4 linked regions of the Caenorhabditis elegans genome follow. The protein of the gene in region 4 interacts with the protein of the main gene of each other region in a biochemical or structural test. Each region holds a gene or a part of one and is shown on either strand. Other genes may lie near its edges. The genes, in order: skn-1, rnt-1, atf-2 and pmk-1.

The links.
Region 1: of the proteins of pmk-1 (region 4) and skn-1, one has a biochemical effect on the other in vitro, tested with the Caenorhabditis elegans proteins (one study listed by BioGRID).
Region 2: of the proteins of pmk-1 (region 4) and rnt-1, one has a biochemical effect on the other in vitro, tested with the Caenorhabditis elegans proteins (one study listed by BioGRID).
Region 3: of the proteins of pmk-1 (region 4) and atf-2, one has a biochemical effect on the other in vitro, tested with the Caenorhabditis elegans proteins (one study listed by BioGRID).

Annotation. Positions count from the first base shown.
Region 1 is NC_003282.8:5,656,496-5,661,927, forward strand, and holds the start of skn-1 (Protein skinhead-1), read right to left. Parts: upstream 3,890-5,432; coding exon 3,761-3,889; intron 1,071-3,760; exon of another isoform or gene 921-1,070; intron 876-920; exon of another isoform or gene 823-875; intron 1-822. Other genes in the region: bec-1 (Beclin homolog), read right to left, coding at 4,845-5,030. UniProt on the Caenorhabditis elegans protein: Transcription factor. Required to specify the fate of ventral blastomeres in the early embryo, and postembryonically for the development of the intestine. Directly regulates expression of zygotically expressed med-1 and med-2 to direct mesendoderm development.
Region 2 is NC_003279.8:5,781,630-5,789,323, reverse strand, and holds rnt-1 (Runt-related transcription factor rnt-1), read right to left. Parts: upstream 5,514-7,694; 5' UTR 5,484-5,513; coding exon 5,415-5,483; intron 4,683-5,414; exon of another isoform or gene 4,662-4,682; intron 4,518-4,661; coding exon 4,400-4,517; intron 4,144-4,399; coding exon 4,024-4,143; intron 3,223-4,023; coding exon 3,149-3,222; intron 2,173-3,148; coding exon 2,056-2,172; intron 1,447-2,055; coding exon 1,388-1,446; intron 1,336-1,387; coding exon 1,217-1,335; intron 1,165-1,216; coding exon 935-1,164; 3' UTR 714-934; downstream 1-713. Other genes in the region: cpb-3 (Cytoplasmic polyadenylation element-binding protein 3), read left to right, coding at 1-154. UniProt on the Caenorhabditis elegans protein: Transcription factor. Binds to regulatory DNA sequences in order to modulate transcription; negatively autoregulates its own expression, perhaps dependent upon CBF beta homolog bro-1.
Region 3 is NC_003280.10:8,749,816-8,754,670, reverse strand, and holds atf-2 (Transcription factor atf-2), read right to left. Parts: upstream 2,686-4,855; coding exon 2,555-2,685; intron 2,481-2,554; coding exon 2,105-2,480; intron 1,875-2,104; coding exon 1,652-1,874; intron 1,570-1,651; coding exon 1,313-1,569; intron 1,240-1,312; coding exon 1,141-1,239; intron 1,053-1,140; coding exon 933-1,052; 3' UTR 738-932; downstream 1-737. Other genes in the region: K08F8.7 (MARVEL domain-containing protein), read left to right, coding at 1-12, 117-397, 453-510. UniProt on the Caenorhabditis elegans protein: Acts as a transcription factor that recognizes and binds to the sequence 5'-[GA]TTA[CT]GTAA[CT]-3', a sequence present in many promoters.
Region 4 is NC_003282.8:8,146,681-8,152,215, reverse strand, and holds pmk-1 (Mitogen-activated protein kinase pmk-1), read right to left. Parts: upstream 3,423-5,535; 5' UTR 3,411-3,422; coding exon 3,262-3,410; intron 3,218-3,261; coding exon 2,652-3,217; intron 2,285-2,651; coding exon 1,920-2,284; intron 1,529-1,919; coding exon 1,475-1,528; 3' UTR 950-1,474; downstream 1-949. Other genes in the region: Mitogen-activated protein kinase pmk-2, read right to left, coding at 3,885-4,034, 4,085-4,289, 4,374-4,470, 4,520-4,591, 4,920-5,034, 5,086-5,163. UniProt on the Caenorhabditis elegans protein: Serine/threonine kinase which responds to activation by environmental stress and pro-inflammatory cytokines by phosphorylating downstream targets. As part of a MAP kinase signaling pathway, plays a role in modulation of lifespan and immunity.

The sequences.
Region 1 (5,432 bases), 2.5 Mb from region 4:
GAGACGACTGGATCAGAACAAAAAAAGCTAGAGAGCAAACAAGAAAAGTTGGTCAAATAAACGAGAAAAGGTTTTTTTTTGAAAAATCAATAGAAGTGCTAACGGGTTACTGTAGATATACGGGTTTTTAAGGAACTTGCAGAATTGAGTCGAGAAATCTACAAAAAAACTATTGAAATTGGGAGAAAAGCGAGAATTGCGTGAAAACTAAAACAAAAGTCAGTTTCGAGTGATTGAAATGCGACAAAAAATCATGAAAAAGCGAGAAAGCTTATACGAGTGAGTGAGAATATAATTCTAGATAAGGGCAACTAAAACATTTGCCGAAAATTCGAGTTCAAACTTGCTATCAGTGAGAGTTGAGAGTGCTTGGGTCAGGTGCCTGATTGAACTGGAATTGAAAGAAAAACATACATTCAAAGGCGCCTGACAATCAACAATTCAAAAAAGAACTCCGATTTCTGGGCGGTCCAAAACCGCAAAAAAAATAAAAGACAATTGATTCCAAAAACAGTAAACACAAGAAGTTAGTTGTCGTGTTGAGGTTACCAAGTGAAAAATGGCGTCAAAAAACAGAAAGAAAGGCGATTTCCAGAGACAACGAAAGAAAACCATCGAAACAGTGCACTCGGTGTCCTTATTTCTCTAAGTTCTCTACGATTTGTGCTAACTTGCCGCCATGGAAATGATGACAAATACGAGAGAGCGCGCCGATAGAGTAGATCACAAGACGAGGAGAGATGGCTGAAACTGTAGACACGCAGGGTGTACGAGAGAATGCTGGAAAGCGCATGTCCAATGGGAAGACGCAGAGGTAAAAAAATTTTGTGACCGCCGTGTCTATTTGCCTGAACACAGATAGACACAGACTTGTGGAGATCGAAAATCGCAACTTTTTGATCCGAAATCTTGGTGCGCGGTAAATTAACGTGCGCAGAAAATTGACCAATTAAATGAAAAACTAGAAGAGAAGGCTGCTGTGGGGGCCGTAACGAAGTCAACGAAAGCTGATAAGACCAGCATTGTCGCTCGCCGCTTGCACCAAAGACGACGACTACAAAACGACTACACAACGGCAGGTGAATGTTGTAGCGAGAGGGCGAGTGCGACCGAATTGTTGCAGGCAGGTAGTAGACGGTGGGAGGTGAAAAACCGAAGATCTGGAGAATGTGTGTGTGGATGTTGATGCAATTTTTCATAGCACGTTGCCCTTAAATTCTGATGAATCCACACAGAAGTAGTACAGAGCAGGACTGTGCGGAAAAATATTTCGGCAAACGTACAAAAATGAATATAAAAATGTAGGAAAATGCTCGCTCAATCTGAAAATGATATGTATTTTTGTTGGAAAAGTTTGAAAAAGACTTTCAATTGTGCCGTCTTTTAAAAAGTTTTCAAAAAAAATTTTTTTTTCAAACCGAACGAGCATTTTCCTACATTTTAACATTAATTTTTGATTCAAAAAGTTGATATATTTTTCGAAAAAAGTTACAAGTCTAGTACAGAATACTTTGAAAAACGATTGAAACTGAAACTCACGAAACCGAGAGAACAGTTTAAAACAATTATTCAATAAACTTAATGCTTGGTGGTACTGCTGAGAATAAAAAATTTGTTTTGATTTAATTTCTTCTCAACGCCTAATTTCAAAATGCGTGCTGGTTTTCACGTTTCCAAAAATCCAAGTTTTTTTTTGGAAAGGAACCAAAAATTCAAAAATAAAGCATATCAGTTTGAAGTTTGTGCCAAGACTGATAAGAAATATATGAGAGATGCAAAAGATATCACTTGACGAGAAAAAGAAAAGATTTTCGATATTCTAAAAAAGAGAGGTTTGGGTGCACACGGAAATCGGATACATCTACAATTGAGCTACAACTGAATTATTCAAACCACCTGCGTCAGACATGCATGGGAAAATTGAATTATCCACACACCTTCTTCCCTGTTGATATGTGATCAGAATTCTTCGAAATCTTGGCTAAAAATAATTATGATACTAAACCTGCTACAAACCACGTGTTTTTATTTTTATTATTACTACAACAAAAATAAAAACAAGCGCATAATAGTCTGATATTTGGTTGAAAATCTCAATTAATCAGAACATATCCTGTTTATTTCAGGATATTATGATCAAAAATCGCGAAATTTAGAATATAGTAGTTCCGTCGGAACTCAAAGAACTCAATCTTTCTGTTTGAGTGTACTGTGAGTTTGACATCATATTTGGCTGTTTATGAATTCTCGTAGAACGTGATGTTCAGAATTATATTTCTTGACCTCAACCGTGAAAACGAATAGGTTCAGCATGTCAAATACATTGCAATTCAATTAGAATATAGTAGAAGAAAGCTTCTACTCATATTCTGTCAATAAATAATCATACTTTCAATTTTTACAAATCGAAAGCTGTGATCCGAATTTCAACTTATACCAATTCCTTGATCCATTGCGTGCAAAAACCCAACTAACCATGTCAACCGCACCCATTCACAATCAGACCACAGATATGATTCAAGTCATTTTTTCGGTTTTAAACGTCTCATTTCCAGATGATATCATCTTGCACCGAGAGCGTCAATTTAATCAAACGGTTTGATCAAACATTGTACGTGGTGGTGGAAAACCGTTGTTGATAGTCGCTGTCGGCGTAGCAGAAAAAGTTCGAAAAATCAAGAGCCTCGTGGGGTGTCTATCAGGATGGTAATGCTGCTATCAAGCTGGCATATAGGCAATCGGGGGTTTGCGATTTTGGAGCGACTCCGGCAAGATGTTTGTATAATATACATATATGGAGGACAATGTACAGACAGTAATATTTTAGGCTAAGTTTAAGATTGAAGAGATTGGAAAATATCTGAAAATCTGATGATCTGGCGGAAGAAGGATTTCGGAAGGGAACGGTCTTCTTAGCGGCTCTGAAATACAAAGATCACGCTTTCCATTGTTTTCTTGAATTTTTGAAATTCTACTTTTCAGAGGACTTCGACTTCGTCCTCTGGCATTTACGAACATAGTCGTTCCGGCATCATTATTGCAACAGAGAGAGAGAGAGAGAGACAGAATGAGCCGTGAATAGTTTCAGACAACGAGGCAACTGTGACATTCTACATGAGATAGTTGGGATTAACACGTAACAATGCGGGAGACCTAGATAACGAGAGTGATGTGACTGAAGTGATAAGAGGAGAAGGTGGTCTGATATGGAGTTTGGGAAGGAAAAGCTGTTCAAAGTAAATATGTTACGCGGTCTTTGAGAAATGATCTATAACCGGGTGTAAATAAGAAAAAATGTTTGAATTTGAACTTGAAAAATCATATTTTTGAAAACTCGACTCTCAATTGTGGTGTATTTTCCCTATTTTAGTCTACTCGAATTAATAGAAACTTCCAAGAATAATATATAGGTAGATGATGAAAAAGCTTAAAAAAGCTAAAAATAGGCTCCACTCAGATCTTGGTTATTCTTTTAGTTTTTTTTCTTGTTTCTGAAGAAATTAAGTAATCCGTGAAGAGAAAAGCCATGTTTAAGGTTAAAGCTGGAATTTTGAGCCAAAAATCTTGGGAAAAAATCTACAAATCTTAGTTAAAGTTGGATTTAGAACATGAAGAAAACAAAAATTGTAAATGCAAGTAATATTGAATCAGAATTGCAAGAGTTGACTGGAAAAGTGATACGAAAAGTCATGCTCTCCCGTGAAATGATGATATTCTTCAGGTCTTTTTACTTGATAAAACCAACAAAAAAAAAACTAACCGACACTCCATAAATTGACGTCGTCTCTTCTTCGTCGTCGGCTACCGAAGAGAAGCACTGTCTTCGTCTTCGTTTATCGTCTCGTCTCGTCGCCGACGTACTTCGCTGACGGCGTGATGAACCGCCCATCGACTGACTGGATTATGATAGATCCTGTGAGAATGAGTGGAACACTTCTCTCAACAATATTCGGACACGGACTCGCGGCTGAGTGACCAGAGTCCGATCGACGGAGGAGAAACGCGTGAACGACGACACGAGGCCTTCTCTGCAATATTTTGAGTTACAACAATTTTTTTTCTAGAATTCAGAAAACGGGAATTTTCGGAATTACAAGAACTATTCTAGAAAAAACTAGAAACTTCGTTTTTGGGGAATTGTATTGTCTACAAAAACCTACAGTATTTTTTTTCAAATTTAATTAAAGGAGGAATATAGTTTGTGGGAGGTTTTCGCTTAAAAAAAACTAAATCTGGCACAAAAGTGCCGAATTTCATAGTGATATTTATTTAAATAATTTCAAAAACGTTTATGACTGGAAAAATCGAAAAAACATTCAAATTTTCCACACATTTTGGTCGAAAATAAAAAAAAAACGGTGTTTTAGCTTTAAAAAAATCCAGAATTTAGCAAAATTTGGACCTTATTTTTCGATATTTTCAGTTATACATTTTTCGAAAATTTTGAGGCAATATTAGTAAAATCAGATTAAAATAAGTTTAGTGGTAGGAACTTGATTTCACAGTTTCAGAAAATTTTAATAATCATTAAACCAAGTAAAGCAACAAGAAAGAGAAAATAAATTAGGAAAAATTCAAATTTTAGATAACAGAATTGGTTTCAAAACCAATCAACAAAAAATAACAAAATTTCCTCCACAAGACTGCAATAAAAATCTTTACTTTTAATATATTTACATATGGTACAAGTTTGGGGAAAAGGCAGAATTCCAGCAGAAAATTTGAAAAAAAAAACTAGAAATCACAATGAAAATTGAATATTTTTTAAAGAAGCGTCCCTGAGAAATTGAAAAAAAAATTTCTAGCGTTGAAAATGTTATTCTACATTTGATCCCGTGAAATCACTAAATAGGCGATCTGAGAGCATCGCATTGAGCACACGCAGCTTTGAGATCTGTGAGCATTAGAGCCATTGCACGAGTCCATCGAACATCTGTGTTGAGTGTCATAACTGCATTGTATTTGACACCATTGTCAACCAGTGAATCAGCATGAATTTGATATGGTGGTTTGAAATTTTTGTTTCGATCCTGAAAAATGTATAAAAATTAGGGTGTTTCTGAAACCAAAAAATTATAAAATCGATCTTTATACCGGAAAATGAATATTGTAAATCCATTCTTAACGAGATGTGAAATTTTACAGTTTTGCTCCAAAAATACTTTAAAAAACCCGATTTACTCAAACTCATAAGGGATCGTGCGCCTTTAAGGCCTACGGTATTTCCCAACTCCTCAAGTGTTCACCCAATTATTTAAATAAAATTTATTAAAAAACATGTAAAAACACGCCAAATTTCGTAGAAACGGGCGGAAAACTAGGAAAAATCACTCTTTTTCACTAGTTTCTTTCAGATTTGGGTTGGTTTTATACCTTTTTAACGTAAATCGGTTGAAAAATGGGAGTTGGGAACTACAGTAGGCCTTAAAGGT
Region 2 (7,694 bases), on a different chromosome or scaffold from region 4:
ACCACCAACATACTACGGTTCTCCAAACCACCCGACATCTAGCAACATTTCGCAACCTCAGCAACCATACTATGGCGCTAACCTTTATTATGGCTTTATTCCCCCTCAGCAACATCCTTCTGCAATGATGCGCTCTCCCAATTACGGCCAGTAAGCGCTTGCCTGTTTCCATCAAAAATTGCCATGTTCTCATTACTATTCGAATATTTTATATAAGTTCCGTCGCTCGTAGTTCTGTAGAAATAATCAACGTAGTTTATGTTTGCTGAAAACTATGAATGAGAAAACTCCCTGTGAATCATATTGCATCTGTAACATCTTTTTTTGTTTTCCCCTGTAGCGTTTAGTTTGGGCCTTCTTAATTGTTTGTTTTTTTAATCAATTTTGTTATTTTGTTGTGTTTCTAATCATCCATCTCCCAACTCTTATCCGAATCTGATGCCATTTTTCCTTGTCATTCGCAATCAATTCGTATGCCATTTTCTTGGTCCCATCTGTAGATTTAAACTCTCCGCATTGCGTTTTACCTCCCTCTCGTTTAATGTATACAAGAAGAATCGAAGGTAACGTTTTATCTTTTTTATCACTTATAAAATTATTCATCTTAAGTACTCTTTCACATCCTCCCCAATTGCATATTTTCTCGCAGATTGCGCATTAATTTTTTTTTCGAATAAAATTTTTTCGATAGTACGACTTGTTGTCTAGTTGAATTCAAACCTGAAACTTTATTAGATATGATGATAATCTATTCCGATTTAGATCAAAACTTGTATTATTATACAAAAAAGGTTGAAAACCGTTAAATGAACCCGTTGAACGTGTTTTAAAACGAGAATATTGAGAAAAGTGACTGAAGAGGTAGGAAACAATTGAGATTTGGAAATTGAGAGAAATTTGGTGTGTTGTGGTAAAATAATGAATATTTTTAAGATTAAAAAGGCCTCCAAATAGTCGGAGAAGAACTATTCGATGAAGTTATTGATACATTTCTTCGTCTTTTTGATTCTACAGATTCCGGAGTTTCTTGAATTAAATTAATTGAAGTTTCTGATGATTTTGTGATTGAACGAGGAGAAGATGGTCGTTTTAACTTCCGATCATCAGAAGTTGGAGTTATAAAAATTGATGGAGATGATAGGCATGTAGACGTATTAAGGGATACTGCAATTAATAAATTATATATATATATTTATTTCCGAAAAAATAATCTAACCATTTTCCTGTTCAACTTTTTGTTTAATCGGAGTTTTCATCGATTCGCTGTGAATTTTCCAAAGTGCAGCTGAGATAGAAGGATGTGGTCCTGGAGAGATAAGCGGAAAAAATGATGGGCTGAAAAATATAAAAATTATTTTATGAATAATGTGAAATTCGAAAAACTTACGGGAAAGTTTGAGTCATTGGTAAAGGAAACCATGGTGGTGGAATCATTGTCATTGGCATCTGAAAATTAAATTTTTAAAAATTGTTTGCAATTTTTTCATGAATGTTCTTCTACAGTTTTTTGCAGAATTTTTCAAATTAAAAACATTTCAAAAATGAATGAATTTTTTATATTGGGGACGCAGAAAAATGTGAATTTTGAAATTGGGGGTGTGAGCGCGCTCCAACGCCAAAAGTCTCCGCCCCCAAACGCTGGGTCTCGTTAGGTATTATCGGATGAATTTTATATCGAAACTGATGCCATAAAATTCATAATCAAATAAAAACCCTTATTCACTTTTCTGTACTTTTCAAAACATTATTTCACAGTAAAAATCATTAGAGTCAATTGAGAGTAGAAACAATTTAATTCTCGAAATCAGGTGAAATCAGCAAAAGTTATTGAAAACGTTTGAATTTCTGATATTCCCGCCAATACCTAACGAGACCCAACATGAGGGGGCGGAGCGTTTTCATTTGCCTCGATTTCAGAAAAAGGAGACTACTGTACTTCTTAAAGTCACATCCTTTTTTTCTCAGGCTTTATTCAACAAATTCTGGTAATTTCGAGACCCTATACTTAAGTAATTAATACAAAATTTTGTTTGTACAAAAATCAAAAAATCGTACCGGTGGTCCAGGCGTTCGGATAATATCATTTGGGAATATTGTCTGCTGTTCTGCCTGCCGTTTCAAAGATCCTTGTGGTTTTGGTATTCTCGCATCCCTTGGTCCATCAACCGTAACCTATAATTAAATTAATAAGTTTTATCGTATTAAACTGACATCATTTCTTCCCATTCCAACATATTTGGCTTCCTTTTTTAAAAAATAAATTTGAATAAATAAACCAAAACTCAATGCAACATAAGAAGTTGCAATTGATAAGAATATTTACCGATTACTAGGCTTTCTGAAAACTAGTTTTTATTTGTAAAGAGGTGTACCAGGTGACGCATCGTGGTTAATAATCAGATAAGAGAGTACGGTAGTTGATGTGCGGTAAATCTATACATTGTTTTAGAAAACTTAAAGATGGAGTAGTTAAAGAGGGAATTTTGTATAAATTTGTACTCATAAAATAACTGATATCATAAAAACGCTTAAAATTTTTTTTGATTTCCTAACATTTTTGGGAGATTCTGAGCAATTTCTCATGTTTGCCCCAACAAAAAATTTAAAAGAATAAAGCTTTTTTTGGTCGACTTCCAAAATTTTGAGTGGCAATTACAGGGTCTCGACACGACGGAAATGTTTTAAAATGTTAGCTATAGAATGGAATACGCTCATTAAAAAGTATGTAGTTCTCACGTCACAACTTTTTTCGATTTTTCGTTGTTTTTTGTAAAATCAGATGCTCGAAGAGAAATAAGAATTAGAGTGGATGTAAAACTACAGTACCCTTGAGAGGTGCATGCTCCTTTTTATTCCAAAAAAATCAGTCGTTTCGAGACCCTTAATTTGTATTATTCATTTGCGAGTTGTAGCAGCCAAAAAATCTATTTTGCCTCAAAAATAGCACAACTTCGGTTCTGGGTAGGGAAATATTTGGTAATTTTTGAATCATAAGTTATCCAATTAATTCAAAAAAAGATTGATACTTACTCAATGTAATTATCAATTACCTATAGGCGCATTTAAAATCTACATGATATCATATAAATACATTCCCTTCTCCTTAGAATTCCACAAAACTTCCCACAATCCATTCGGATAAACTCACCTTGATCACATTTTTGACGGTGGCCACCATCATCGGCGCCGAATGTATAACGATTGTCAAATGGAATTTTCGGCCTGCAAAAGACACAAAAAACGATTGGAAAATGTGCAGTTTTATTATGAGCCGACGATGTTCTTCTCCATTCCGCCGCCGCCGCCACCTCACAAAAAGTATCCCATTAAATGCGGGCATTTGTCGCGCATTTTTATGTTACACTGATGTTCCGGATAATATAATGGCTCCGGTCAGACTACTCAGGTGGAATCATCAGTTTATTGGAAAATTTTATTATTTTAATGTGGAACACGGCCGTTAATGTATGCGCTTTTAAAATGAGAAAATGTTTAGACAGAAGTGGAAAAAATGATAAGAAAACACAAATCAATAGATTTATAAGAGGTTAAATTAATTTTTTGGTTTTTTGATACAACTAAAAGTTACATGCACCATACGTTATTATAATAAACCGTGCATTTCCATGCACTTCCCAGAGCTCAACTTTGGAATTTTACATATCGGTTATTTTATATTTATTGATAAATTTAGGAAAAATGAAGTTCAAAGCCCATAACGTTGTAATTGATAGATTGATAGAAACTAATAGGTAGAATATGAAATGTATTTATCAGGGAATTAAATTATTTAATTTACTATTAGTAATTTTAGGAAGTTTCATTTTTTTTTGTCTCCCAAGTGTCATACTTTTTCTACCCGCATTCTTACCTCTCACCACTTTTCTCTACTTACCTACCAATTGCAGTTACATATACAGTACTTCTTTGTCAGTTGACTACTTTGTACTAATACCCACAAATATGTGGTCATTACCCCTTTTTTCTACCCGCGCCAACCGGTTATTTGGCTACAGTACTCACCTCTGCCGGACCGCCCGACAAACCGCAAATCGTTAAATTTTGCCACTTGTCGATGCACTTTTGCTTTCTCATTTCGAACTTCTTCGCATGGTTTTTCGTCATTTCCAGCCCAAATTGATACTGAAAATATTATTTGAGCAGTGAAGAAATTGCTTTTTTTATTTATTTTGAAATATAAATTTCAACATAAAGCAATGCAAATATAAGGTTTGTTTTATCATTTTCAGAAATGCTCAATCACATGATTTCAACAATAATTCAAGAGAAGGCAAAATTCCAAAAAAATCATTCCAAACTTATTTCAAATCGTAGAGAGTTTTGAAAAAAGTAAAAATATAAATACGAAAGTGAATCAAAAGAAAAATCAATAATTTACCTTCTGTATTATCTGGAACAGGCGTTAGTAATACAACATAAAATGGTTCTTGAAATGATTTATTTGATCTCCAATGCTTCGGAAGAGCTGTGTATAAAATGTTTGGAGATGATGATTTCTGAAAATTTATTGTTTTGTAAAAATATCTCACAATTCTTTTACACTCTTGTTCGTCATTATATAAAATGTAATATTTTTCGATTGATAATTACAAAGTCAATTTCAATGAAACCTCTAAAACTCAACAAAATCATCGAAATGCTTGTGGTTTGAGCTGAATACTTTTATGATAAGAGAATGAAGATTACTGTATTCATTTGATTACTCAATTTCCAACCGATGCAAAATCAATATACTCTATGTCTTGCAAAAAAAAGTTCAAAAACAAAATGTAAAAATGTTGCTATAAGTTGTAGTTTGGTGTAGTGTAATTTTTATTTTTCATTTCATACCGTCTCGTAAATCTTTAAGATGATTTGATAAAATCTGCTCATAATTGACTATGGAAAATCAATACCCTAGAGTCATGAACTACCGTATACTCTCAAGAAAAGGAAGAGTTTTGAAATTTTTAAAAAAGTACATTTAAATTTGTAAAACTTTGCCGGGAAAATTAACTCAACTTTTTCTAATGTTATGAACGAAAATTAAAAAAAAACTGTAGAAATTCCGTTCACAGACTAGATAAATTGTAAGTTCTTTTACGTTCGGATTTTTGGAAATTTTAGGAACAATTGTTAAAAGTCACTGTAACAAAACCAAAATTTCCCAATTTCGAATCGAAATGCTCAATTCAAAATTATTGTGATATACAGGTACAATTTTAAAGTTAAAGTGACTAGATTATGATTTTAGGAAAAATTGAAAAAATCCAGGTTTATCAATATTTCAGGTTTTAAAAAACGATTTTTCTTCCGAAAACCGAATAAATGACTTAAGAAAGTTTAAAAATTGAAAACCTAAGACTTCGAAGTTTTTTTATAAAGAATCACAGGTGTTCAAGTGCCATACATACCTCTAATGTTTTAGCAGGTGCAGGTTGTTGCTCTATAAAATTCCGAACGTGATGGAAGACGTTGGTCATTTCTGTTAGTTTCCCAGAATACTTCCAGCACTGAAAATGAACATATTTAATTGAGTAGTGATAGAAGGTATTTGAAAATTCAAGAACAATGAAACTATTGCTTGCAATCATAATGACAAAAAAAAATTAGAGATCTGAAAGCTTCATGTACATTTTTTATGGGGGTTTCAAGGCGGAGTAGGGAAATTATTTAAAATTACTACTAGTGCTTTTTGTGACCAAATATCATAGTGCATTTTATTATTTTCAGACAAACAGTGACAAATGCTCATTATAATAATTTTGGAAGTCAACCAAAAAATGTTCTACGAGTTTTATTTTTTATAGGAATGCAATAATACTGAATTCCTCGAAAGGTCCAAATGTTTCGAGGTATTTTTCCAAAACTGTCAGAAGACTGAAAAAAAAACTGACAAATCTGAAACGTTTTAGTGTGTCTTATTTGGATACTCAGATTAAAAAAAAAACATTTCGAGTATACATATATGTTTTTTGACAAAATTTCCACTGATCCTTCTCCGCCTTAAAATTATATTTTGATCCATAAAATTCAAAGAAAAACATTTTTTTCGTCGAATAAATTTTAACATAACATTTAGTAAACAAATAAATAAAAACAAGATTGCCAGAAACGAGCCAATGATGTCTTTTGGCCGTGCAACCGCAAAAACTAGATAAATAGACGATTGTGCTCCGTTTTCAACTGATAAAGCGGAAGTGTGGTTTGGAAAGAAACGAAGTTTCAAAATGGGTGTTTATATGTTCAAAGAAGACACACCTATGAAATTGGTTAAAGAATTTGAAAATTACTAAAACGGAACGAAACGAGGGGAAAAAGATTGTTGAATTCCAGAGAAAAAAGGAAGTTATTTTATTTGCTTACACATTCTTTAAACTACCAACTTCTCAAAAATTGATAACTCTATTCAAATAAAGTTTATGAATGACTTCAAATAAGAAAATGAAGAAAATTATATATTCAACAATTTTCCAAGTAGACAAACATTTACTTATGAATCTAAAAAAGTTTAATAACCTACAAGGAAGTTGTGATAGAGTTGGAATATATTTGCATCTTATTTAATTCTTTACAATTTCAATTTTTGTTTCTTTTCAAAAGTTGCTGGATTTTGCCTTTCCTTTTCTAAATATTTTAAAATTTGTGGTAATTTAACAATTTGGCAGTTACCAAATTAGAAAATATTTTGAAATCGGAATTTCCGGAAATTACCAAACAAAACATGCCCAGGAGACAACTTAATTGTAAGAACGTACAATATTTTTTCACTAGGTAATCAAATAATTTCTCCAAAATCGTCCACCATTTCTCGTTATTTCAGATTCGAGTTTTCGCGATAAGAAACAATGAAATTACGGTATTTTTCTTATTGCTCTAACAGAAGTAATTTTGAGTAAGGGGATGGTACTAGAAATATTTTTTCTTATAAAACTTATAGGATGACTCTTTAAATATTTTATATGATAACTTTAAGAAAACTCATAGTTATTTGGATTTCCGGTTTCAAAGCTTCGTTCATAGCTGAAACTCATGTTTGACTTATTAACTGTGAGTTTGTTTTTCTGAACTAAATATTTACTTCAAACTTGTCACAAATTATTTGTTGAAAATCGAGTATTTCAGAAAATCAGAGGTAAATTTCAAAATGACATTGGGGGCGGGCGTATGTGGCTTGAAAGGTGTTGGCGGGCGGTAGATGGGGCGAAAAGATAAAGGACAGGTACTGAAAACGATGAATTGAAAGCGAAAAAAGAATGAAGAAAAGATGAGGTAGACTTTTGAGTAGGTGGGGGAATGAAAAGGACCGCAAAAAATGAAATGAGCGAAAGTGAAATGGAGAGCGGTGAAAGGGGTCAGGGAAACGGGATAACGGGGAGATTTTGGAAATATTGCGGTTTTTCGGAGATAGTATTAAAGAATTAAATAGCTAAGTACAGTGTAAATGAAAATAGCAGAACTGAGCTAAAATGGGAATGAATATTTAGAGCTGGAGTTGCCTAAAAACTTTCATCTTGGTACATTGGAGTTATTTTCACATTTACTTAATAAACATAGCAAATTATTCTTCAGTACCACAATTTTTTCAAAATAACAAAAACATAGACTCTAAAAACGTTAAAATGACCAATGACTGAAATTTGTTCAATTTTATCTGAGCTCTTGAACTTCCAGCTTCAAGTTCTGTTGGTTTT
Region 3 (4,855 bases), on a different chromosome or scaffold from region 4:
ACCATAGTTAAGGTAATTTTTAAAAGATTTTAAGTTTGAAAAAAAACCCAAACTTCTTAATTCGTTTTATTTTTAATGTTGATAACGCGTAGATTTGTACTGTCAAAAAATTCCAGAGATGTCTATTCACTTTTGTTTTTGCTCTTTCCATTCTCGTCTCTGCAATTCTGTTTTTAATTGCCAATGATGGTTGTGACTCCCGAGCAATAACTCAATACGGATGTTATCAATCAGTTTCCACTGGAACATTCCAAGTTGCTTCAGTATTTTGCTTTTTGGTTCTAGTATTTGGACTTCTGGATCTAGGCCTGAATGCCTTCTATTTTTATCGTAATTCAAAAAAGGCGCCAATTTATGACATTCCGCCACCGTCTGTTGCCGTCATCGAAACGGAAAAGTGGGTCAAGATTTGCATAAAATTAGGAAATATTTTATATTTCATGTCCTTTCAGAAGTATACATGACATTTACATGGAGTATCAACGAAAAGGGCAAACAAGTTCTGTTTAATGGAAAAGTAATCAAATAATTATCAATGCTCAACTTTAAATTCACTTTCTCATAATAATTTGTATATATGAAACATTAATAAAACAATTTTCTGATTCAGTTATATCATTCTGAAAAGTTTCCGTTTTCTGGCAAGCGACGGGTGGATTTTAAAAATCGTTTGCAGACTTTACTTTTTTTTGTTGTTTCACCTTTTTTTGTACAGGAAGCAAATCAAAAATAATAACACATTGGTTTTATTAGAAACAATTAATGAAACATTTAAAGTTAAAAAGTATTGCACATGAATGATTGGAAGTATTGCAGAAAGAGAGGAAGGGTTTTTTGAGAGCGAAAGACTTTGATTGGGGGGCATCTAGCGAGAAGACGAAGAAAATTGGCTTTCTATCCGTATTAGTCAAAAATAAGAAAATGGAATGGGATCAAGGGTGAAGGGCAGTAACAACTGATGCTCTTTGAGCCAAAACTGATTTGAAGTGGGCTATTTCTGCTTTTAGCGTTTCGATTTGGGTACGAAGATCTTCATTTTCACCTTCCAAGAGCTGAAAATGTTAAGTAATAATTGATTCAATAAATTTATATCTAAGTTTTAAAATTTTATGTTTTCTATTAAAATTAGTTTCAACTTACCTGAACTCGTCGTGACCTGTATTCGAATACTGCTCGTCTATTTGCTCTACATCTTTTTGCGGCTTCATTGTTCCTTCGACGTCTGTCCACATATTGGGGCTGAAAGTTTTTTTTTGAAATATTTGACATGTATTTAAAAATGTCTTCTTTCAATTCCTTTAAAAAAACTTACCGATTTGTTCGAATAATTTGAGTGATCTTCCGAAGAATGCGATGGAGAGAAAGATGCTGAAGACGATACACTTTCACAGTCTGATTTGTTTCCAGTATGTCTTGGAGGGGAATTTAGCCCCGAAATATGTTCCGTTCGGCTTTGTGGTACTGTAGGAGAAGGTCTTCGCTGTGAAAGAAGAGCAGATAGCAGGGATGGTCCTTGTTGAACAGCTTGGATTACTGGTTGAGGCGTACCTGATGGAGCAGGCTGACCGACTGAAATAAATTTTAGATTATAGTTTCAATTAATACTAGTGAAATGAAAATATGCTCTTTACTTTCAAAAACAACGACTTACTTTGTTGAATAACGCTAGATCCAGGCTGTAACTGAGGTTGAGGCATATTCACGTCAGTTGATGAATCTGGACTTCTTCGTTCAATTTTCACAATTACGCTACTCGATGGAAAACTCTGCTGAGCACTTTCTGATGGTCGAAAAGGATGAAATGCAGATGAAGACGATGAAGAGAATAAAGATGATGCTGACGTTGATGCAGGTTGTTGAGTGCTCGCATAGACCTACAAACATGGAAAAACGTTATGGGACATCTGTCTTTCTAGGTCACGCATTCAGCTGTCAATGTATTCATTAAATTGTTGACAATCTGAGTTGTGTTGCCAAAAAATGACAATGGAACTTTATATGCGGTTCAGACGTTTTTGTAATAGTAAATATTTTTCCACGAGTTAATTTATTTTATTTAAATCATCACAATTTCGATATTTCCAAGTTCAATAAAATAACTTACCGGTGACTGAATAGTTGTTGGCTGTAGTTGACAAAGCTGCAACATTGATGGAATATGCGAAGCTGCCTGGAGCAATGGAACAGTAAGCATTGAACTCGCTTGCAAAGATGCTATTGGACCCGCTGGGAAAAGATTCTTTGCAACTTGGGGAATAATCAGAGATGTTGGAGGCTCTGTTACTGATGGTTGTGGAATTGGTGTCGTTCCTAACTGAGATTTTAACCGTTCGTTTTCGGCGGAAAGTAACATTATTTTTTCTTCCATTGCTAGATCGTTTTGCCTTCGCTTTTCTCGACTTCTTCTTGATGCATCGTTATTTCTCCGTCGCCTTTCCCAGTAATGTTCATCTTTTATTACACTTTCGTTTACGGAATTTCTGGAAAAATAGTTATCAATGTCGAAAAGTATTTAAACTTTCAAAAGTTTCATCAAACTGTTAAAAATTCAAACCTTCTAGATTCCGGGGGAGATCCTTCTGAAAAGTTCGACGAATCCGACGAGCTCGATGAGAACTCGGCGGATGCCGAACAAACCACCGAAAGTCTGGAGGACGGTGACAATGATGCCGAGTCGACGTCCATCTGAAAAATAAAAATAAGATGATTAAAAGTCAAACAAAAGAAGAAAATCAAGAATATAGAAGTACGAAATTTGAAAGAAAAGAACATCGGTGAAAGAAATATGAATACCAAAATCTTTCAAAATGAATTAAGACACAACATTTATATTTTGACTTCAAAATGTTAGTACACATGGTGTATTGAAATGGAAAGTTAGTAGAGTTAAAAGAAGCTGTCAACCTATTTGATGTAAGGACAAATACGTCTTTTTGAGTTGAAATTGACACGATCTTTGGAGATTCAGCACAATCAGAAGTTCAATGTGTTCACTGTTTCCAGATATTATTAATTAATTGTAAGCCATTTTAATTGACCAATGTGTATACAAAAATTATTCAGTTTTTGGTTTCAGTGAAGATGATCTTACGCAATGCTAATCCCTGAGTATCTAGACAACCAGAAAATCACTAACTTAAAAAAAGGTGAGAAAACAAAGTATATCTGGTACAGGTGTGTTCATATGGTAGGTGTAGAGTGCAGTTAGCAACAATTAAGCGGTGTTGTGCCTCTCCTCAGTTGACCTATTTGCGCCTTGCAAACCAGTTAGCCATGGTCAATGTTTCGGACAATGCTTGGTAGATCCTCTCACTCTCAGTCTCTACAATAAACCAGTCGAAGAACAGGATATCCCCTCCGACTTTCGCCCCCTTCTCTCTTCATTGCAGTCCCTTCTCTTTTTCTTCGACCCGTCTCCTAATCATTTTTCATCGTTCGCAACGACTTCAACGCGTCGCCTCCTCCGATCCATGATGATGCCGACTTTTCCTAATTGTTTTCACTTTCCTTTCGCTTTCATGCTTAACTTTCGCTGCTTCGGGTTACGGATGTATGTGTGTCTAAGTGTGAGAAGGAGGAGGAGGTCAATGGTTGAATTCGTCGCATCAGGTCACTAGTACAAAAGGGTAGGTGAACTTTGCGGAGAATTGGAAGACAAGAGGATGAAGCTACTGGGTGGAAAGTGAATAATGAGATACGGCTAAAAGATAAAGTTGAAAAAGATAACGAAGAAAAAATTGGTAGGTTTAGATAAACAAAAGTCTTGAAAAATTCATAAACGCACTCTAGGTCAGGACTGTAAAATATGACCAATGTGAGTGCAAGCCTGATAGAGAAATTTTGGTTATTTTTCACTGCTGAACACAAAAAATGATACTCAATTCTGAAAGTAATTGTTCAAGAAACTCGGAAACGATACAAGCAAATGTATTCAAAATGAAAAAAATGCGTTGAACTAGATGAACAAATTCGCGAAATCGGGCTGGACTTGTTTGTTTTTGATTGTGCACCTTGAAAAAGAGTGGCGAGAGCCAAAATAACCGCCGCCCGTGTTGGGGGACAATCGTCAGCGAAAAGAGAGAGCTATTTTTGTTTGTTTGTAAGGCTCGGAGAATGACGAGAAGTGAATCACAAACAGTGTCCACTATCCTCCCGCACCGCTTCCAAAACTTTTTTGTCTGCAAACCAGAACAGCCAAATTCACTGCATCATTTGATGATTTTGATGACCAGTGAGTGTGTGCCTGTCCCTTGCTGTGTCTACTTCAGTAGTTTTACATGGAGAGCGGATAATACGGTTAGGTAGAGTAACAGAGTGAGAGTGCACTTTTGGTAGTTGATTGCGAAAGTGAGGTGTTGAAATGATGGTATTCTTGTTGGGAACTGAAAGATCGCAGTTCGATACGAGAAAGAGAGAGTGGCTAGCACGATCATATCGTTCGGGAACGAGTCGGTGAAAGTATGCAGGCTATGGGAAGGAAAGTGAATGAAATTGGAAAAAGAGGAGAGAAAATTGAAATTCAATTTTAGATAAAGGTATCTTTACTTGAATCTAGGATTGTCAAGAAGAACTGTTATTTTCTTAGAACTTTTAAATTGGAACAAGTGAAGTTTTAGCTTTTCACATGAAAAAGAGGTATTCTTTGAGTCTGCCCACTTTGAAAAGTGAATTAATGAAAACTGTTTCAAAATTATTGAATCAACAACTTTAATCAAATAAAATGAGTTAGTTATATTTTTTTTTCTTAAGTTAAAGACGGTGTAGCGTTTTCCAGGTTACGTTTTCGATTATTTTAGTAAAAATAAGTGTTTTCCATCAAACTATCAAAATTTAAGATTGGCCGAAAAACAGCCTT
Region 4 (5,535 bases):
ATGATTGTCTCCTAGTATATTAATTATACAGACTGTAATGAGAAAAAAGTAAATCAACTGATAAGTTGTAGCCTTTTTATAATCAAGGGATTACAAGGGGAAACAAAGAAAAATTGGAAGGAAAAGATTCCGTATTGAAAGTTGTCAAATAGAAAAGAATGAAAAATTGGAATGGACATTGACCCACACTCAATAGTTTTATAAAACAAGCTCTTATCAGTCACAATTTCTGGCAGAATAGAGAAAATAGACGGAGACATGAACTTGTCGTCATTTCAATTGAGCACCGACATCTCGTGATTCATTAATGATCAAATCAGTTAAGCTGATCGAGAATAGGCATAAATAACATATAAATAATATTTCAACATTATTATGTCACATTATTATGTCACTTTTATTATTCTTACTGTTTTATCTGTATGTGAATGTTAAGACGAAACAAAAATAAAAATGGAAAGAATGTAGAATGTTTTGCCCAATTAAGTATGATTTTTATAAGAAAAGCCAGTGCAAAATGTGAAAACCTTTTTACAAATGAAAATTATTCAGCTCACTGATCTACTCATCGTTTGTTCTAAGAAATCACCGCAAAATTATTCCATCGTGCGTGTTATCTACTGCTTTCTTTTTAGAACTGTAACTTTCTGTCAAAAAACTCGTGAACGTGTGTAGGTTTCTTTAAAATATCAAAGGACCCAAAAAAGCAATAATGCTATATCCTATAAAACACTTTTTGAAGAGAACCTCAGTTTTTCGCTTTGATCTTCTCGGATAGCGAGAAGTTTAGCTTGATGAGCGAATTCATTTAACTAAGGTATTCTATTTTGTTACACTATTTGTTGGATACAGTATATTTTGGCAGTATCAACTGACTTTCAACACTTAAAGTGGCACTTGTAATAATATGATACTGACAAAGAAATTCTTAAAAATAAAGATTAAAAGATAATTTTTATGATTTTATCAAGTTCATTGGAGAACAAAACGAAATAAACATAGAGTGCAATGAAAAGGGGGAAAATATGACTTTAGAAATTTAAAAACTCAACTATCAAGATTTTGAAATTTCTCGAAATCCATAATGAAAGTTAAAAAGCTTGATGGTTGTGTATTTCCAAGGTCACTTATACAGGCTTCATAAAAAACAAGGGGCGGGGTGAAACGAGCACCTAATAGATCAAAACATCTGGAGAATTTGATTTAAGAAATTTTAATTGAAACAAAAATACTAATTGGTTTTTTAAAACAAATTTGAAAACAGAATAAAATTATAAGCGAATCAGTTAGAGCTACCTTGTTTTGTTTTGGAAGATTTTATTTTTGTGGGGGGATAGCACATTGTGAAAGTGAGATTAACCTTTTCAGAGCAAGAAACTGCCTTGGGATTGTAAGATGTCTCAGTTGGCTTTTTTTTTTTTGAAAAATTTGAAGAATTAAATTGAAAAACTGATATACAAAAAAGAAAGCAATGCTACGATTCCATTTTCTCCTCATCTTCCTCTTCGTCAGCAAATGCCACGTTTTTCTGAAAATGATCTCATTATTTCAGTGAATAATTTCCGTTTTTTCTGAGTTTCCTGAGTCAACTTTTTTTTCATTGATAATTTGGCTTCCAAGAAATTGAATATGACTCATGTCTCGTTTCTACTTAACCCCCCGCACTGAATCATCCTTATCATTCATATCAATTTCATAACAAAGTGTAAAGGTTTGGGTTAGGTGTAACTCAACGTTAGAGTAGTATAGGTTATTTATAGAATTTCAAAAGTATTCGAATTAAATAATAACCGCTTAAATTGATACGTTTTTGACAGTCGGAAATGAATTTTGATCACAAAATGAACCCACTGGGGGTGTCCTTCGTTTGATTTTATGCATAATTAGTTGGTTCAAAAACAAGTGTAAATATATATTACCTGGAAATCACTGATCTCTTCCCAAATAATTTTCTTCCATTCATCAATTGTATCTGCCCTTACATCATCATTCAAATCCATTTCTTCTGCAATTGGCTCATCAGTTTCATCGTGATAAGCAGCCAGATATTCATGCTCCATAGCTTCTTTTGCAGTTGGACGACGATCTGGATCAAGGTGAAGCATCTTTTCAAGGAGATCGATTGCTTGAGGAGTTGCTTGAGCAAACAGACGTTTGAAATCACGGCGAGTCATTTTTGGAAGATTTCGAATGTAATTACGAGCTTCTTCTGATGAGATCTTTTTAAGGAATTCTTCATCTGGTGTTCCAGTTACTGACATGATACGAGTCAATTGATCGATGTCTGAAACAGTAGTTTTAAATGAAAAGTCTACATTTTCAAAAGAAAATAACGTTTGTGTTTTGTTTTTTGTTGTTTTGTTTGTTTTTATTGAATTATCTTAGTCCATATTTTGGTAGTTAACACCGCGACTACAAATGCGCCTAAATCCTCAAATCAACTGGAGATAAACTACCAAAATTTGCAATAAGAGGTAATAATTAATTATAAATTTTTTCCGCCTGCTACGGTACGAATAACTTAGCAAAATGATTTTTTTTCTATGTTATGAAACGCCAGTGTACAATAAAGTTAACAACCATAAATATTTACTCTGGTTTTTTGCTTGGAAATTGAAGATATTTGGAATATTGTAGAAAAAAAGTCTTACGATCAGATCCAGGGAACAATGTTTTTCCAGTGATAAGTTCTGCAAGAATACACCCAACTGACCATACATCAACAGTCTGCGTGTAATGCATCCAATTGAGCATAATCTCTGGAGCTCTGTACCATCTTGTTGCCACGTATCCAGTCATTTCAGAATCAGTTTGACGTGCCAATCCAAAATCAAGAATTTTCAATTCACAATCCTCATTAACAGCAATATTTGATGGTTTAAGATCTCGATGAATAATATCTGCAGAATGAATGTATTTGAGTCCACGAAGAATTTGATAGACTAAGAATTGAATGTGGTCATCGTTGAGTCGCTGAATTTTGAGAATATTTGATAGATCAGCTCCCATCAACATTGATACAAAATACACATCCTCGATATCATTTACATTCTCATTTGGAGTGAAGACATCAAGTAGATCAATTATATTTTCATGACACATACAACGAAGAAGTCGGAGTTCACGATATGTACGACGGGCATGAATTATTGATTGAAATGGACGATTGAATTTTTTGATTGCGACGCGAGTCCCCGAGCGAGTACATTCAGCAGCACTAAAAATCGAAAAATAAAGTAAAAATCAGTTGAAATGACATACCAAACAGTTCCATATGCTCCGGTACCAATTGGAGTCAAGTTAATATAATAATTTGGAACAACCCAGACACTTCGATTAAGCTCAACGACATAGTATCCTTCTCGTGGAGTCGGATGAAGTATATGATCCATTGTTGTCTGTGGAAACATTGGCTCCGTTACCTGGAATCATGTTTGTAAGATTTGAAGTAATTATTTTGAAAAAAATATGATTTTTTTGTGTACGTAAAACCAATATAAATGTAAATATAAAAATTAAGCGGCAATTTGAACCGATTAAATGTTTAAGAGTATTTAGAAAATTGAATATTTACATTAATTCTTTATACACTTCAATTTGATAAATGAATCTAAATGAATAATAAATTAAAAGAGGCTCTGAGGTCATGGCAACTTATAGGATTAACGAGAAAGTTAAGGTAAATCACAAGTCTATGGTTTCAAAGGAAAAAATTGAGATTTTGTGGAAAAGAACATCTGAGATCGATTGTTGGATAATTAGAGATCAAGGAATTAGGGACACAAATTTGATTTTTAGTGAAATAAATAGTTTAGGGAGATACAATATAGAAAAAAGAAAATTCCACAGTTTTGAGATATTTTAGCACTTGAACACATTTGACTTCATATTTTCATTGGCTCTTCTTCCGTATCCGTACAGCTTACAAAACTTAGTCTTCGTGCCGAGTTTTGGAATAATCGAATCTCATTCCAAATTAACTCTCGCCAGTCGGATAACGTTGTTGCTCGTTCTTCAGCTGGATCAATTGTGACCTAACAAGAAAATTGGAGTACTTTTAGAGAAGCGAACTTAAATTTCGTACTATGCTATTTATTACCGTATCCATTGCAACTGGTTCATCATTTGGCACAGAGTATTCACGAAGATAGTCATGACGAAGAGCACTTGATACAGAAATTCTTCTGTCCGGATCCAAAATTAGCATCATTTCGAGAAGTTCGAGAGCATATGGAGAAGCCATTGGAAACAATGTAACGAAGTCCTGACGGATAATTGGAGAACGATTTCTGAAAGATTTTTGCGTAAACGATTTATTTTTTTTTTCAGTTCTAGTCTAGTAATTGAATTTCAGAAGTATTTGCAACACTAACTTAATATAATTTCGAGCTTCTTCTGATTGAATTTTGGACCAGAATTCTTCTTTTGGGGTACCCACAACTGACATTATCTTTGTTAGCTGATCAATATCTGCAAATTTTAAATATTTAAAGTATTAGAGGAATAGAATAAAACTCACGATCATCGCCTGGAAACAATGGTCTCCCGGATACCAGTTCCGCAAGAATACATCCAACTGACCAAACATCAACTGAAAAATTCAATATTTTGGTAACATTTTTAGAAGTAAAAAAAAATGATGTTTTTGTTTCATGTGATAAATATATCAAGTTTTTCGTTTATTTGAAAAAATAGGAAGTTGGAATAGAGAGAGAATTGCAGAAACCAGAAATACCAATATCAAGTCAAAGTTTATTCTTCATATTTTCACACGTTTTAGCATAACTACAAGAAACAGGTGAAACATGCTTTCAAAATGTCAGAAGTTAACCTCAAATCATATGATATTTAACAATTTAGTTCAAAGATTTTAGGTGACTATTTAAGTGCATAGAAACCAATTTCTTTTATTTACTCACCAGTCTGTGTATAATGCATCCAATTGAGCATAATCTCTGGAGCTCTGTACCATCTTGTTGCCACGTATCCAGTCATTTCGGCGTCTTGAGCACGAGCCAATCCAAAATCGAGAATCTTGAAAAATGAAAGAATTAGGAAAGAAAGTTGAGAAAAACTAAGAAAAACCTTGACTTCGCATCTCTCATTGACAGCAATATTCGATGGTTTTAAATCGCGATGGATAATCCCTGCCGAATGGATATACTGCAAGAATAGGAAAATATTTGAATGTAAAAGAGTATTAGGAGAAAAAGATCAAAGAATTTTTGGAAGAAATATTTGAAACAAAGCTGTTGTAAGATTTAACCAGCCTAAAACGTGTGTTTCTTCTTTGAAAAGGATGCATTAATTTTTTCAGAATAATAGTTGAATTGAAATTTTGGTGACTCATGTACTGAAGCGTTATTTGCAACTGTTCACATCAAACTGTTTAGATTAAAAAGTATTTTAATGTTCAACAAGTTAAAATCTGTTCTTATAAGAAGTTTTCCCATTCTCTGAAACAGAAAATAAATTTAAAAGCTCATATTTTAAATATATTACCACAAAACGCAAAATTCAATGTTTTTTTTAATT